Linked DNA regions of Rattus norvegicus. The protein of the gene in region 3 interacts with the protein of the main gene of each other region in a pairwise test. Links are inferred from orthologs where the notes say so. Each region holds a gene or a part of one and is shown on either strand. Other genes may lie near its edges.

Region 1 (5,418 bases), on a different chromosome or scaffold from region 3:
CGCACCTAGAATAGTATCTGGCCACTCTGTGACCCAGTCAAATTTCGACATAAAAATCTGCCACAGTTCCCTAATATATCCAAGTGGTTCTCTTTGTCTCTACTCTAACCTCAACAGGACCATGGAGGGTGGAAAAGCCATGTCAGGTCGTCTCAATTCTCCTAGAGGTTCTTCTTTGTATCGCTTCTCAGTGGAAGCCAAATGGAGACGGTCAAGGTCTCCATGCCCTCTTCTCCATCCTTAGCCAACCCCTGCCACCCGTACCCTCTGCATCTGTCCTGCACCGATTGTCCTCCAGGAAGGCAAGTCTGTTCCAGCTTCAGGGACTTTGACGTCTGTACCTTCCAGGTCCCAAAGGTCCCCATCAAAGTATCATGGATTCTGCTTCTTCCCTCAGAGCCAATGGCACCCATTATCAGTGTTTAGGTTCTTTTTCAAATAATCCGTGGTAGGGGTTTGGCAGTAGGTGGTCAAACACTGGTATACCATGCTTAAAGCCCGTGTTCACATGCCAGCACAAGTTTAAAAACCATTTTGGAACACTTTAAGATTTATACACACACACACACACACACACACACACACACACACATGCACACACACAGACACATACATGCATGCACACACACATATACACACACATATGCACACATACACACACATACACGCACACATACACGCACACACACATACACACACATACACACACACATACACACACACACACACACACACACACACACACACACACACACACGTCCCAGAACTGATGCCTCTCCTTATTTTCTATTCTAGGTTCCCCTTCTATCAAGATCCGACATTAACAGGATGGAGTCATTCTGGCTGAGAAACCAGCCTCCTCCCTCCATCTTTAGTTAAGTGTTTTGTTTCCATTTTCAGAGATTCCTTTCCTTTTATTTTATGTGTGGGAATGTTTTGCCTCCATCTACCGTGTACATATCATGTGTGCGACCGGCACCCACAGAGGTTAGGAGAGGCACCATGTTGGTGCTGTGAATCGCACTCAGGTCCTCCGCAAGAACATCAAGTTCTGAGCCGTCTCCCACCGATTTGTTTTTGTTTAATTCCGAAACCCACCTCCCAGCCTTCTCAGCATCTTCCGTGGCCGGTTAAGATTCTTTTCTCGTAGGATCTTTCAACAGCTGTGAGTAGGATTGGTCAGGCATTTTCGTGGGGTGGGGGTGGGAGTGGGGGTGTGCAAGTGGATTTGTGGTTGTTGAACCAGGGGCAAGCTCCGCTCACTGTCACAACATCATTTATCTGTGTGGTAAAAACTACTTTCCTCCTCCTTTCTGTACAGCCCTATGTAGAGGAGCAGGCTCTCTATATTGAGTGCAGAGAGACAAGTTTCTTTTCCAAGAAAGTGGGTTTCTGCTTCGGTTGCTTGAAGTTGCTCTGCTCCGGAGACTTGTGGACCTATTTCATCGGCCATCTGTTCACGTTAGATGAATAACTTTGTGTTACCATCCAGTGCCACCTCGTTCCTCAAATTCTTCCGGCTTTAGGCACCCGGAGCTCTTTGGGTGACTTCCTAGCATCAATGCACACATCATTTTTCTGTTTTAGATGGTTAGCCTTCGCCGTGTTTGTCCAGAGGCTTCCCATCCGCTCACCCGAAAGCCCCTTTTCTCTTTCCGAGTCTCTAGTAGGGTGTCAGGCTACGAGGACGAGGTCGTGGCAGTACCCGTGGATGCCCCACTGACAGCAGGCGGGAAGGGACTAGTGGAAGGCGGGGCTCAGTGTCTTCAAGATCCACAACCTCCGGTTCAACCATCGCGCGGGTCTCTGCAGGCGCAGCCACACCCACGCTCAGAAACGGTTTCTAGCGTCCTAGCCTCGGAAATGCTCTGGACTGCAAATGTCATTCATGCCGAGGGGTTTTCCCTTGGAAAGTCCGACGAATCCCGCTCCGCCCATCTCTCCATCCCAGAGCACCGAAGAAGACAGAGGAAGTTTCCCGGGTGGTCCACACGGTCGCCCGCAGCATCTCGGGGCGCACAGCAGTGGAGGGAGGCTCGTGTCTAGGTTCTCAGCCACCCGCACCGTGGCGACTCTCGTCCGTGAGGACGAGAAACTGCGCGCCCAGCCCAGGGCGTCCCCGGGGCGGGGCCTGGTCCCCCAGCTGTGCAGGCTCAGCGCGGTGGGGGCGGAGCCAGCAGCGCCAGATGCGGCCGGGGTGGCGCAGAGCTCGGACCCGGCTGAGAAGCGCAGCCCTGGCCATCAAGAAGCAGAAGAGGCAGAGCCTCCGGGACGCGAGCATTGCGTGTCCTCCCGGCGTCCGGACGCTGGATCAGCGCCCCGCCGGATCACGGTTCGTTTCGTCACGGGAGTGTGCTTTGGTTCTCAAACTCTTTGGGCATCGGGGACCCGGGTGCGGGGCTGGCTGGAGTGGCGGACCTCACTGGCCCAGGGCAGGGATGCTGCCCAGCAGCAGGTGGGTTTGGGGTGTGGTTCCCTCTGCGCCTCTAGGTACCTTCAGGACGCGGCTTTGGGTTTCACTCCTAGAGCCAAAAGCTTTTTAAGTCTTTGAGAATCTAAGGCTTTATCAGAAGTGCTTCAGAAATGACTGGTGTAGTCAGTTTTATTGTTTTATTGAATGGAGGTGCTTCTTTTCCGTTTGGTTGCCACTTTCTCAAGCACATCAGAATGGGCACTTCTCCACTTGAACTTGACAGTATGACTCAGGAGCCAGGAAATATGGGAACATTGATAAGGCGTTGAAACAGCCCGCACAGAAGATTTGGGGGAGTTTGTTTTAGGGGGGAGCGATCTGGTGGCTTTGCTTAAAGAACCACACTACGGAATTCTTTTGGCTTCTTTGGCCGAGACCAGCTGAGACCTGCGTTTTACTTCCTGTGGCTCTCTCACACTTAGTAGAGCATTTCTCAGCAGAGGGAGGAGCTGTTGTTTCTACACGGGTATCCACAAATGAGTCAGAAGGCGACTATAATTGCAAGGCTTTGTTAATACGCTTTTGAAAAGCGAGGTTGGATCCCTGTACTTAGAATAAGAACGGAGATGAGTCTGGTGCTGTCAAACTGGGGCAGGCGGCCTAGGAAGTAGCTATTCAAGTTTTCAGTTTCCTAGAGCGTCTGATGGGACAACATGCCAGCTAGGGTCACTAGGCCGATCTGAGATAACCCTTAAAATCATGTGCTTTCCCACAGAAGCTGAAGAGAAAATTAATTCCATTATCCAATAACCATTTGTTTTCACTGGTTGGTAGAAACTGGGCATTTAGTGGAGTGATTGTAAGTTACTCCGAAATTTAAAATATTTCAGAAAGTTTATTTTTTTTACCAAGTTAGTACTTTAAAAAATATAGAGAGAAGCTTTTGAAGAAAGTAGATGGTTGCTAGAGCCAGACATTAATATGCTCTTAGAAACAGACTTCCCTATCTAGAAGCTAAGCAGAGGCAAGAATAACTGTGTATCTTGGCTGAGCTGAGGTCAGCCCTAGACAGCAGTTACAAGGTTCTGGTCTGTTCTTTTCCTCAAGTTCCATGTGTACAATCCCAGGCACAGTGCTATCCTGACAGCCAGAGCCACAGCTGAGCTGATTTTCCTGGAAATCCAACATTGTGAGATGGGTGCTATTGTGTTTTATAAAAAAGAAAAAGAAGTCAGGGATATGTTTAGTAGAGGTGTGGGGGAAGGGGGTGCCTCTGTGGGTCCATGCTGAGGCATCCCTTTCCCCTGAGGGACCATCCATACATGGTATAGTATAAGAGTATAGAATAGAGTTTATTTAGGGCATGGGGAGGGGAGTGGACGGGGTAGAAGAAACAGAGAAAGGAGAGAGAGAGAGAGAGAGACAGAGACAGAGACAGAGACAGAGACAGAGACAGAGACAGAGAGACAGAGAGAAACAGAGACAGAGAGAGACACAGAGAGAGACAGAGACAGAGACAGAGAGAGAGGAAGGAGGAGGAGGAGGAAGAGAAGGAGGAAGAATAGAGAGTAGAGGCAGGCTTTGATCAGGTATAGAGGCGGGTAGAGGAGAATGGGGAGAAAAGGGACAAAGAGCAAAAGAGTGAGGAGGGGGCAAGCAGCCCCTTTTATACTGAGTCAGGTATATTTGGCTGTTGCCAGGTAACTGTGGGGCAGAGCCTAGAAGAAATGCCAGCAGGTGCTGTGAGAAATTTACACCCAAAGGAGGCGCCCCAGTGTGGAGGATCAGAATATCCTGGATCACTCTTGGGACAGCAAAGGAAAGTCTGGGTTCCCATCATCTGCTTGTCTTGGTTGGCAGCCAGGTTTTCACTCAATACATACATGATTTGAAAAGCATATTTGTATGTGCATATGTGTATGATTTAAAGAACATACTAGTGAGGCGTGGCGTTTAAAGTGTTTGAATTAACCGTGTTTTGTATTGCTCGGTAGCTGTGTGAAAGCAAACCCAGTCTGTTATCATCCCTGGGCACTTATGGGCACTTTCCTGTGTCTTTTAAACAACAGGGAGTGACTTACGAGCCATTGGTGGCTTTCTGCTCATCGGTTGTTCCTTATCTGAGGACTGGCTTCACTTCCTTGATTTTTATTACCCGAGCTCTGAAACGTGAAATAGAAAGTTCCAGCAATAATAGTATGCATCTATTTATTTTACTTGAGACGTGGTCTCACCGCGTAGCCCTGGCTGACCTAGAATCCACAGCTATCTCTCTGCCCGCTTCTGCCTCCTGAGAACTCGTATTAAAGGTGTGTGCCACCACACTTGGCAGTGAGATGATGCTCTGAGAGAGGGAATACATCCACACCAAATTAATTAGAACCATATCGTTGTAATTGCTCCACTATTAATTCTTGTTCATCTCTTACTGTGCATAATTTATGAATTTAAACTTTATCTTAAATACGCATGCACGGAGAACAGCAGAAATAGGTGTCAGGCGTTCACCACAGTCTCTTGGCTCAGATCCCTGAGGGTTAATTTCCCAGTCCTCTGAGGTGGCCAACTAGTAAAAGGCTCCATTACCACATCTTTCACCTCTGTCTCATCGCTCCCTCCGCAGCCTCAGAGCCACATCTTCTAGAGGAAAGAAAAAAGATGAAGTGTTATTCAGTATGGCGTTCCTGGGCTTGGGTACCCATCTGACTCGTGGTTAGTGGAAAGAAAGCATTTATTAAACAGTGAGCCTAACTGTAGATGAGGGTTGTCCAGGAGCTTGGATTGGAAGGTGACCCAGCAGAAGGAACAGCAGTGCCAAGGACAGAAACAGTTTCTGTGGTCAAGAAAGCCTGTTTCCTGGGGGCTGGGGTTTAAGGTAGAAGGGGGGGCAGAAAGGTGAAGGGGGAAAGATAAGAGAAGAGGACCACATAGACCCATGGAGGCTCCAGGGCTTTATTCTGTGGAGGCCTCAGAGAAAACAAACACCAGGAGAGACGTGTTTAAAA
Region 2 (4,822 bases), on a different chromosome or scaffold from region 3:
AGGGAGGAGAGGGGGCTGAACACAGGAGAAAGGAGACACCAGCAACCGTTAGGTTCAGTTCCAGCCATTTTGTTCCGAGCTGTGGACAAACACCACAGCAATACAGTGCCTGGGAACCCCTTTCAGACGTTCCTGGGGTTGGGGATGCTCGCTAGACCTGTGATGGTTTGAATAATAAATATCCATCATTGCATCCAAATGCTCGGTTCCCAGTCGGTAGATCTGTTTGGAGAGTTTTAGGAAGTGTAGCCTTGCTGGGGGAGGTATGTCACTCTAGGTGGGCTTGAGAATGTAAAGAGTCACCCCATTTCAAGTTCACTCCCTCTGCTCCCCACTTGCAGTTTAAGATGTGAGCCTTGGGTTTCCTGCTCCTACCAATATACCTGCTGCCATGTCTGTGCCAGGACTCTCATCTCCCCAGAGCCGTAATCCCAAATAAACCCTTCCCTCTTTAAGTTGCCTTGGACATGGTGTTTTAATACAGCAATAGAAAAGTAACTTAATACACAAGTCTCAAGTGTCAGTATAACTGCAGGAAACAGACCAACCATGAAAATAATGTCCCTGCCATGTCAGGCAGGTCGATCTAGTGTGTTAAGAGGAGTACGACAAGGGGGAAACCACACACGGTTCTTTCTATCCTTCAGAGGACACAGAAAACCCAGTCACATCTAGAAACCTGCATGAATGAAAATGAACAACCCAGTCAGTACCTGTCATATACACTACGTGCTCACTAGAGGGGCTGGGGCCGGTCCTGTTTTGAGCTATGACCCAAAACTCATACTGGGTATTTGGCTCAAGATTTTTCACTGAGCAATATGTTTCTTTGACCGTCATGGTGAACTCTGGAAGAAAAAGAAAAAGAAAAAAAAAAAACAATGTAAGAATTCAAGCCTTAAACAGCCACTGGACTTTTCTGTGCCCTGTTGTAAAAGAGGAGCCTAGGCTGCAGATTCCTCCCTCCGCTGCAGGCACAACCCTGCAGCCGCACTGTGTGTTCTGAGAGGCCTGGTTGCCTAGACCTTGAAGTGGGGTTTACCGTGGTGACTAGCTTAGCAGTGGTCCTGTGACAAATATGACACAAAAAGAGGCTTGGGACATAGTGAGGGACTTGCTCTCCACCTCCCTCCCCAAACCCCTCCCCCAAACACTTCTAGCATAGTATGACTATTGCACACATCAACTGACAGCGGCTGTGATCACCCGCACAGATCTAGTCAATCAAATTTCTAGTGTGGATGGGGGATGGGCCCTGGAGGTCCCACCCCTAGTGGAGGTAGTTGATGGCTTCTGAAGGAAGAGGGGGCAGATATGATCAATATCCATTGTATAAACGTATGGAAGTTTCAAATAATAAAAACTGTTAAAGATAAAAATAAAAATAAAAAACTGTTAAGACCTCCTCCTTCCTGGTCCCCGGGGCAGAAATGCTGTAACCTCCCTTCACTCAGAGCTTTTACCTGCCAACTGCAGAGCTTCCACAGTGAGTAGTGACCTGATAGCCTGGCTCTACCACACTCACTGTGACATAGTTAGATGGCTTGCTCCTCGATGAGCCTCCGCCATCCTCATCAGTCAAATGCAGATTGCCAAGCCCAGAAATTCCACTCTGACCTGACTCACTCTGGAAAGCCCTGATTACTTCAGGTTTGTGGGGCTTGGGGAGTTGTGTCTGCAGTCTGATCTCGCCTTCTTGTTATGGTTTAAGCATGTGCCCCCAATAGCTACCTATGTGTTGGAGGCTGGCCCTTGTCCGTGACCCTAGAAGGTGAAACCTTTAGGAGGTGGGGCCTTGTGGGAGGAAGTTAAATCATTGAGAACGTGACCTTGGAAGGGATATTGGTACTGTACCCCAGCCCCTCCATGTTTCTCTTGAATGCCAAACTGTGCCAATAATACTGTGCCATTAAAGACAGAAACCGGGTTGGGGATTTAGCTCGGCGGTAGAGCGCTTGCCTAGCAAGCACAAGGCCCTGGGTTCGGTCCCCAGTTCCGAAAAAAAAAAAGAAAACAAAAAAAGAAACCCTGTGTCTAAAGACAGAAACCGTAGGCTAAAATCAAGTTTCCTCCTTAATAGTTGAATTGTGGTAGTGGTACACACCTTTAATTCCAGCACCAGGGAGGCAGATACAAGTGGATCTCTATGAGTTTGAGGCCAATCTGGTCTACACGGCGAGTTCCAGGATAGTCAGGGCTACACAAAGAAACCCCATCCTCCAAAAATCAAAAACAACAAGAAAAAGTTTTATTTCTCTCTGATTTTTGTTATCGTAACACAAAGCTGGCTATGACGATTAATCCTAATATTTCAACTTGATAAGATTTAGAATCACTGAAGAGATAGGCCTCTGGGCATGTCTAAGAAGGCATTTCCAAAGAGGCTCCCTTCCAAAGAGGAGGGATGACCCATCTTGAACGTGGGTGCCACCATCCGATGGGCTGAGGTCCCAGACTGAATATAAAAGAGAAAGTGAGTAGACACCAGGCTTCGTCTCTGCTTCCTGACTGTGGATACAGTGCGACCAGCTGCCTCCTGCCCTGGCTACCATGCCCTCCCTGCAGTGGTGGACTGTACCGTCAAACCATGAGCCAAAATAGACCCTCCCTTCCTAAAGTTGCTTCTCAGCTGACATTTGTTCACTGTAACAAGAAAAAATAGGGGTTGGGGATTTGGGGGATTTGGGGATTTAGCTCAGTGGTAGAGCGCTTGCCTAGCAAGCACAAGGCCCTGGGTTTGGTCCCCAGCTCAAAAAAAAAAAGAAAGAAAGAAAAAAGAAAAGAAAAGAAAAGAAAAAATAGCCAACAAGTGGCTAGTAAACACACTGCTCACAGGAGAAGGGCTGATGGTAAAGGATGGCTGGCCCCAGCTCTGGCTAATACAAGCCGTTTCCCCGGGGTGGGGTGGAGTGTGCTACCAGAAAGCCAGGGGCCATTTCCGGCAGCGTTACGGTCAGCAGCAGCTCTGTCGGGCCCTAGACCTTACCTGCTTGGTCCTTGCCAGGTGAGCTGTCCTGCACCGGCCTGTAGGACAGCTGATAGCTCTCCACGGTGTCATCAGAGTATAAACTCCAGCACACACGCACCGAGGAGCCAGTTGCTGAGTTGGGTGCCTGGGGATTTATCACTGGAGCAGAGGGAGCTGAAAAGGGAAAAGAGAGAGGGAACAGCCCTGAGGAGCTGTATGTGCAGGAGTGGGATGGGAGTGGCCACTTCTTGTTTCATTGAATTATTCTGTGTGTATGGGTGTTCCGTCTGTGTTACTGTGCGCACGCCTGGTGCCCATAGAGGATGGATAGGAAGTGTTTATAACTGATATTCAAAACACTGAAGACCTCCAAAACTCAGTGGCGAACAAAGCCGACAAGCCCCTAAATAATGTCACTTTACAGCAAGCAAGGACTGGAACAGGGCTCAGTCTAAAGAAGACACACGAATCTGCCACCAAGAGGATGAGCAGGTGTTCACATCACTCATCATGAGGGAAATGCAGGCCAAAACCATAACCCGAGCGCGTGTGCTGGTGCGTGCCTGTCATCCCAGGACCTGGGAGGCTGAGGCAGAAGGATCACAAGCGTGAGGTGAGCGGGGGCCACAGTGTGAGTTCTGAAGTAGGCTGGGTACAGAGTTAGACCCTATCTCAACAAAACTAAAAACAACACGTGAACAAAACTCGAAAGGCCATAGTGAGCTATCTTCTCCCACCTACCAGAACAGCTGTGCTCAGAAAGCAAAGGATGACAGGTGTTGGGAAGGATCTGGAGAACGGGAGGCCATGTGTACTGTGCAACCATTGTAGAAAACAGCAAGGTGAATCACCAAAAAAACTCATAAGGAACTGCTGGGGCCTGGTGGTGTCACACCCAGGAGGCCAGGGTTTGGTAAGAGCATCTGGGCAGTACAGTGAGAGACCTCAGCTTAAATAACAGAGGGGCTGGGAATGTAGCCCAGAGATACAGTACGTATGAGCGAATGTGAGCTACTGGGCTCAGTCCCCAGCACTGTAAAAGGAGTGAGGGAGAGAAGACACTGGCAAATGGCTCAGTAACTACATTTAGGTATATATCTAAAAGAATTAAATCGGAATTGTAGATATTTTGCAGTTATTTCCAGTAGCCTTATTCACACTGGCCAAGATCAGAGAACTTTTTTATGGATGAAATGCAACTCAATGGAATGCTACTGATCCTTGGAAGAGAAAGACACCTGAGCTGAGACACTGCTCAGTTAGTAAAGCGCTTGCCAAATCAGCCCGAGGACCTGAGTTCAGATCCCCAGGGCCCACATACAAAGCCAGACAGTAGTGTATACCTTTGAAATAGGAGGAACCCTATTCAAAGCTTACTGTCTGGACAGTCTTGACAACCCAGGAGCACCGGGCTCAGTGAGAGACCCTTTTTCAAACCATGAGTGCAGAGCAATTGAGGAAGATGCCACTCTGGCCTCCCATGTGCATGTGAATACATGTGAATGCATGTCAGCCCCAACACAGAGAGAGGGCCGGGAGGGAGAAAAGGTTACCATGGCAGTGACGGATACCATGGATACCATGTTGTTAACTCCAGGTGCTGTGCTTGTCCAGCGCATCTCTGAGACTTATTCACCTTGCAGAACTAGGTCCTACTCATTGGGCAGTCCTCATTTCCCCTCCCCAGTCCTGGCCTGCTGCCATTCTGTTTTCCAATTCTGTGTATTTGACTGCTTCAGGCCCCTCACCGAAGGAGACTCGTGCAGTGTTTATCTTTCTCTGAATGGCTTATTTCACTCACCGTACTGTCCATTCAAGTCCATTCAGATTGTCACAAACCTCTCTCTCTTTCTC
Region 3 (5,415 bases):
CCACATGGTAAATATTTACTGTTTATACCTGGCTGAAAGACCCTCGTAGGTTACGGTGGGGCAAGGAAAACCACCGGTATGCCCAGTCTCTCATCTTTCCCCAGTTGGTGATGCGGTACTGGGAGGCTACACCCAGAGGCCCAGTGTTGTGGGAGGCTCGGGCCGAACCGTGGGCCACCTGGGTGCCTCTCCTCTGCTTTGTCCTCCACGTTGTTTCCTGGCTCCTTATCTTCAGCATTCTTCTGGTCTTTGACTACGCTGAACTGATGGGCCTCAAACAGGTGAGGCTCCCACACCCCCACCTGAGACCTGTGCCTGCAAGTCTCTCCCTCCTGTACTCTTCTGACTTCTCTTGTCCCTTGCCTTCTTGTATGATCGTTTTCCTTCAGCCTGCCTTCAAAGGCCAGTGACTGTGGTCACCTGGGCTTGAGGATGCTGCCCGGACCAGAGAGACCTGTGTTGGGGTGGAGTCTCAGAAGGGATCCTGGGCCTGATTTTCTAAGATGGTGGTGCCAGCCAGGAAGAGGACAGAGGCAACTGAGAAAGGAGGCTTGACTCATTTCCATGATGTGTCTTCTAGGTTTATTACCATGTGCTGGGACTGGGCGAGCCTCTGTCTCTGAAGTCTCCTCGGGCTCTAAGACTCTTTTCTCACCTTCGACACCCAGTGTGTGTGGAACTGTTGACTGTGCTGTGGGTGGTTCCCACTTTGGGCACGGACCGCCTCCTGCTGGCTCTTCTCTTTACTCTCTACCTGGGCTTGGCTCACGGGCTTGACCAGCAAGATCTCCGCTACCTTCGGTCTCAGCTACAAAGAAAACTCCAGCTTCTCTCCAGACCCCAGGATGGGGAAGCAGAGTGAGGAGCTGGTTCTAAGCCCTGTACTTCCTCTCCACCTCAAAAATCAAATCCCTTAGCATCCAGGCTGCATCTGCTTCAGACCAGAGGTTGGAAGTCATGCTTTGAAGGGGCTGTCCCTTCTCTTGCTTGAGAACTCAGTTCTAGGGTCCTGATCCTGGACTCTAAATTCAGTTTCCACCACTGGCCTTCAGAGTCTGCTTCTCACCAACCAACCAAGAAATAAACTCAAGAGCCTCCTTTTCTCTTCAGAGCATGACCTCCACACACACACAGGGTCAGCCTTAGCACTCCATCCCCTTGTTATTGGCTCTGCACCTCAGGGATTCCCTTCCGTGTTTCCACCTCGAGGAGCTATGTCAGGGCCTATCTGAAAGTTTGTAGGTAATGGCTCTTTTGTACTGCGGCTGTGGTTCCTCCCCACCACTGCCTTAGTTTTTCCACCTCATCAGCTCTGCGGTGCTGTCTTCTACAGCGATATCTCCCGTTTTTTTGTTTTGTTTTGTTTTGTTTTTTTTTTTAACTCGGGTTGACTCGGGGCTCCCTCCTCTCCCAAAGGACATGCGCTGCAGAAAAATTAAAATTTTATACATATGACACCCAGTTGTCTGTCCATGACTCTCAAGCCGCAGGACCAATTGGGGGGAGGGGGGGAGGAAGATTAGGCCAAGTTTTTGTGGCGATAGCCAAAGCACTCTAGGACGGATCCCTGGGCTGGGGCCACACCCCATGGACCCGCCCCATCTCTCAGTCCTCCAGTCCTGTTCCCTCCAAATATGAAAGTCTCTCCGCGTATAGATCAGGGAACCCGTGGGAGACAGAATAACTCTCTGGGAGGGGAGCGAACTCCCAAAGCTATTCGCCTCAGACCCCAGGGCCTGGCAGCCGCCTTCTCTGCCACGGTAACAAAGACTAGCCAGGGAAAGAAAAGGCGTGGGGAGGAGCAGCTAGAGATGGGAAGGGCGGGTCCGACTCCAAGCAGCTGCCGCTTCCTCTCCATGTCCCTTAGGGGGCCTGAGTCACGGGCCGCCGCCCCGGGTCGGCCTATTGGAGCACTGGGGTCTGGACACCCCGCTTCTCTAGGGCTGCAAGGAAGGAAGCGGGTGAAGGTCTCAGGAGACAGACAACCGAGAAAAAGGGGATTGCTACGGCGGGAGAGAAGTCCCACCAGAGTCCCACGCGGGAAGGAGGGCAGCGAAGCCCCGCCCTTCGCCGGGCTCCTCCCTGCGCCCCCTTCCTTCGCCCCATTGTCCGTAGACAAAGCGGTCGCCGCCCCCGGCTGGCCCCCTGTCTGCGTCTCCGTCCCTCCTCCTGGGTTCCCCCTTCCCTCCTCCTCTGTTTCCCTCCCTCCCTCCGGATCTCCCTTCGCCTCTCTCCTCCTCTTCCTCTCTCCCGACGCCCGACTCCACTGCACCTCCTCCTAGGGACCCCAAGGCGTGTAAGTTGACTGTAGGGCTCCCACTTTAAGGGAAGTGCCTCGTGGCTCTAAATCTCCCTTGGAGTGCCTCCCCTTTGTGCACAGATTGTCCGTTCAGTCCTCTCGGGTGCACGTCCCACTGGGTCAAGGTCCCCTGAGAGCCGGGTCCCTGGTTGGGGGACATCAGAGGCGCGATGCGGGTCCTCGTCGCGCCCGTGTTCTGGGGGCGCATCTGGTGGAGAGGCCGGCGAGATTGTAGGGACTGGACGCGGGTGGACGCCAGGGTTCTGGGAATGCATAGGCTGCCACACTTGCTCGGGTACCAAAAGTCCCCGAGGAGGGTATTTCCCCTGACCCGCCTCGGGGGCGGGATAGGCAAGTGGGGTAGGGGCCGGGCTGAGGGGCGGGGCCGAGCGCCGCTGGGAAGGCAGCCGGGACCTGCCGAGGCCCCGCGCGCAGAGGCGCCGGCGCCCTTGCCCGTTTCCCCGTCTCCCCTTCTCCCCTGGACCTCTGTCCTCCTCATCTAGCCTCACCTCCTCACATCTCGTCCGACCTCTTCGCCCCTCGCCTGCTGCTTCTCTCTTCCCATTTATCTCCCCTGGGTACCGGGGAAGCAGTCTCGACTGAACCCTCTCACTTCTCGGCCCCGGCTCCTCCGGCTCCTCGCTCTCCTGCTTTTCCTTACCTCCCCTTTTCATATCTCAGGGACCGTCTGGTGCCCACAAACCCCAATCTGGCTCTGCCTCTGCCCGGAATCTCGACTCTTCCTCTCCCATTATCCCCACCCCCAACTTGGCACCCGGCTTTTCTCCTCACTTTTTCAGTTCCTGACTCTTTTGCCCTCCTTCCTCTCACGGCCTTCCTCTATTTTCATTCTTAACTCTACAGTCCCTCTCTGCCCTTCTTAGTTCCTTCCCTCATCACTTCCTCCCTCCCCCCACCCCCATTCTCAGTCTCTGGGCTTCTCTGAAGCTCACCCTTCCTGTTCCCGTCCCCCAATACTCTCTCCTTCACTTCCAGCGACCATGACCGCTATCCCAGATTGGAAGCTACAGTTGCTAGCCCGGCGGAGGCAGGAGGAGGCAGCGGTTCGTGGCCGTGAGAAAGCAGAACGGGATCGCTTATCCCAGATGCCAGCCTGGAAGCGGGGAATTCTGGAACGACGCAGAGCCAAGTTGGGCCTACCTCCTGGAGAGGGGAGCCCTGTGCCTGGGAATGCAGAGGCTGGACCTCCAGACCCGGATGAATCTTCTGTCCTTTTGGAGGCTATTGGGCCAGTACATCAGAACCGATTCATCCAACAGGAGCGACAGCGGCAGCAGCAGCAGCAGCAGCAGCGAAACGAGGTGCTTGGTGATAGGAAGGCTGGGCCTCTGGAGGCTCTAGAACGGAGATCAAGTCCTGGTAATTTAAGAGATCAGAGCCCTAAGGGAAGAGAGTCAAGAGAAGAGAGGCTAAGTCCCAGGGAGGCCAGAGATAGGAAGCTGGTGATAGGAGGAACCCAAGAGTCAAGTTCGAGGTCTTTGGAGACTGGAGACTGGAGGCAGAGCCCAGCAGAGGCCAGAGACCTGGATTCCAGACCAGCTGAGGCTCAGAAATGGAGGCTGAGCCCTGGAGAAACTCCAGAGGAGAATCTGAGATTAGCAGGTTCTGGAGATCACAGTCCCAAGAGAAAAGAGGTATTGGAAAGCAGACTGAGCCCTGGGGAGTCTGGCGACCAGAAGACCAGTCTGACAGAGGCCCATAAATGGAATCTTGACTCAAGAGAAGCCCAGAAACAGAGCTTGGTACAGCTGGAGGCCACGGAGTGGAGGCTGAAGTCAAGTGAAGAGAGAAAAGACTACTTGGAGGAGTGTGGGAGTGAGGAAGAGAAATTGGGTTCAGGGATTGCCCCAGACCAGCCTTCAGTGACAAAGGAGGTTCAAGACACCACCTCTAGAGAAGTGGAGACTGCCGAGCAGAGGCCCACTGAAGGCTGGAAATGGACCCTAAACTCTGGGAAAGCTCGAGAACGGACACCTTGGGACATAGAGACGCAAATTCATAAGGCAGATCCTCCAGCATCTTCAGAGAAGCACCCGGGACCTTCTGCTGTGGAGGCTGGAGGGGAGGCTGAGAAGGAGGAGGCGGGGGCTCAGAGCAGGCCTCTGAGAGCCCAGCAGAACCGCTGCTCTGGGCCCTCCCCCCTCCCACCAGAGCACTCTGGGACGGAAGGCTCCAGACAGCAGGAAGAGGAAGCGGCAGAACCCCGGCCCCCAGCACCAGCCCCTCTGTCTCCCCCACCCTCGGCCCCAACTGCCCCCCAACCCTCTGGGGATCCCCTCATGAGCCGTCTGTTCTATGGGGTGAAACCAGGACCGGGGGTGGGGGCCCCCCGACGCAGTGGACACACCTTCACTGTCAACCCACGGAGGTGTGTGCCCCCTGCCAGCCCAGCCCCTCCAGTCAACCCTGCCACAGCTGATGCTGCAGGGTCTGGATCTGGCAAGAAGCGGTACCCAACTGCAGAGGAGATCTTGGTGCTGGGGGGCTACCTCCGTCTCAGCCGCAGCTGCCTTGTCAAGGGATCCCCTGAAAGACATCACAAACAGGTAAGAGAGCTACCACGCCTGACTGGGTAGAAGTCTCTTTCTAGTTCTGACTGGATGACTTTTTTATATGCCTGTGCCTCTTCTATTCTTTTTATTCTTGCCAACTCCCTTCCTCCCCCTGCACACACCCTTCCTCCGGGTGGCCTTCCTTTGCCATTCGTTTTGGAGCCCCAAGGATTCCGTTCACTCAACTGCTATGTTGGGGTGTGTCGCTTTCAGGGTGTGTCCACCCTAGTTCTTTCTTTGCCCACTCTCTCAGTCCCCTCTCCTCTTCTTCCTTTGGGTTTTGACCCAGTTAAACCCTTATGGTAAGAGAGAAGAGATAACCCACCCGTGAAGCTGTGGTGAGAATAACTCGGGGGGATGGGGGACAGAGAATGTAGAAGGAGAAGTTCAGGGAAGTTGGGATGAAGGTCTCTGGCCCCAAGAAAGAAGGGCCAGAACTAAACGAGGACATCCCAGAACAGAGGCGGGGGTGGGGTGGGGCTATGGAACAGAGCTGGCTGAGGAGCTGAGAGGAGTTTAGACCCCAAGTCAGCCCCCACTCCC

What was found.
Region 1: the proteins of Ppp1r18 (region 3) and Stx11 interact in binary tests that used the Homo sapiens proteins (3 or more experiments, as listed by UniProt). The two-hybrid records come from large-scale screens. The link is inferred for Rattus norvegicus from reciprocal best matches to the Homo sapiens genes PPP1R18 and STX11.
Region 2: the proteins of Ppp1r18 (region 3) and Fsd2 interact in binary tests that used the Homo sapiens proteins (3 or more experiments, as listed by UniProt). The two-hybrid records come from large-scale screens. The link is inferred for Rattus norvegicus from reciprocal best matches to the Homo sapiens genes PPP1R18 and FSD2.

Annotation. Positions count from the first base shown.
Region 1 is NC_086019.1:9,137,065-9,142,482, reverse strand, and holds the start of Stx11 (syntaxin-11), read left to right. Parts: upstream 1-2,263; 5' UTR 2,264-2,332; exon of another isoform or gene 2,333-2,455; intron 2,456-5,418. UniProt on the Homo sapiens protein: SNARE that acts to regulate protein transport between late endosomes and the trans-Golgi network.
Region 2 is NC_086019.1:144,912,174-144,916,995, forward strand, and holds part of Fsd2 (fibronectin type III and SPRY domain-containing protein 2), read right to left. Parts: intron 3,143-4,822; coding exon 2,987-3,142; intron 849-2,986; coding exon 714-848; intron 16-713; coding exon 1-15.
Region 3 is NC_086038.1:2,889,166-2,894,580, reverse strand, and holds the start of Ppp1r18 (phostensin), read left to right. Parts: upstream 1-2,251; 5' UTR 2,252-2,296; intron 2,297-3,295; 5' UTR 3,296-3,300; coding exon 3,301-4,866; intron 4,867-5,415. Other genes in the region: Nrm (nurim), read left to right, coding at 105-281, 581-862.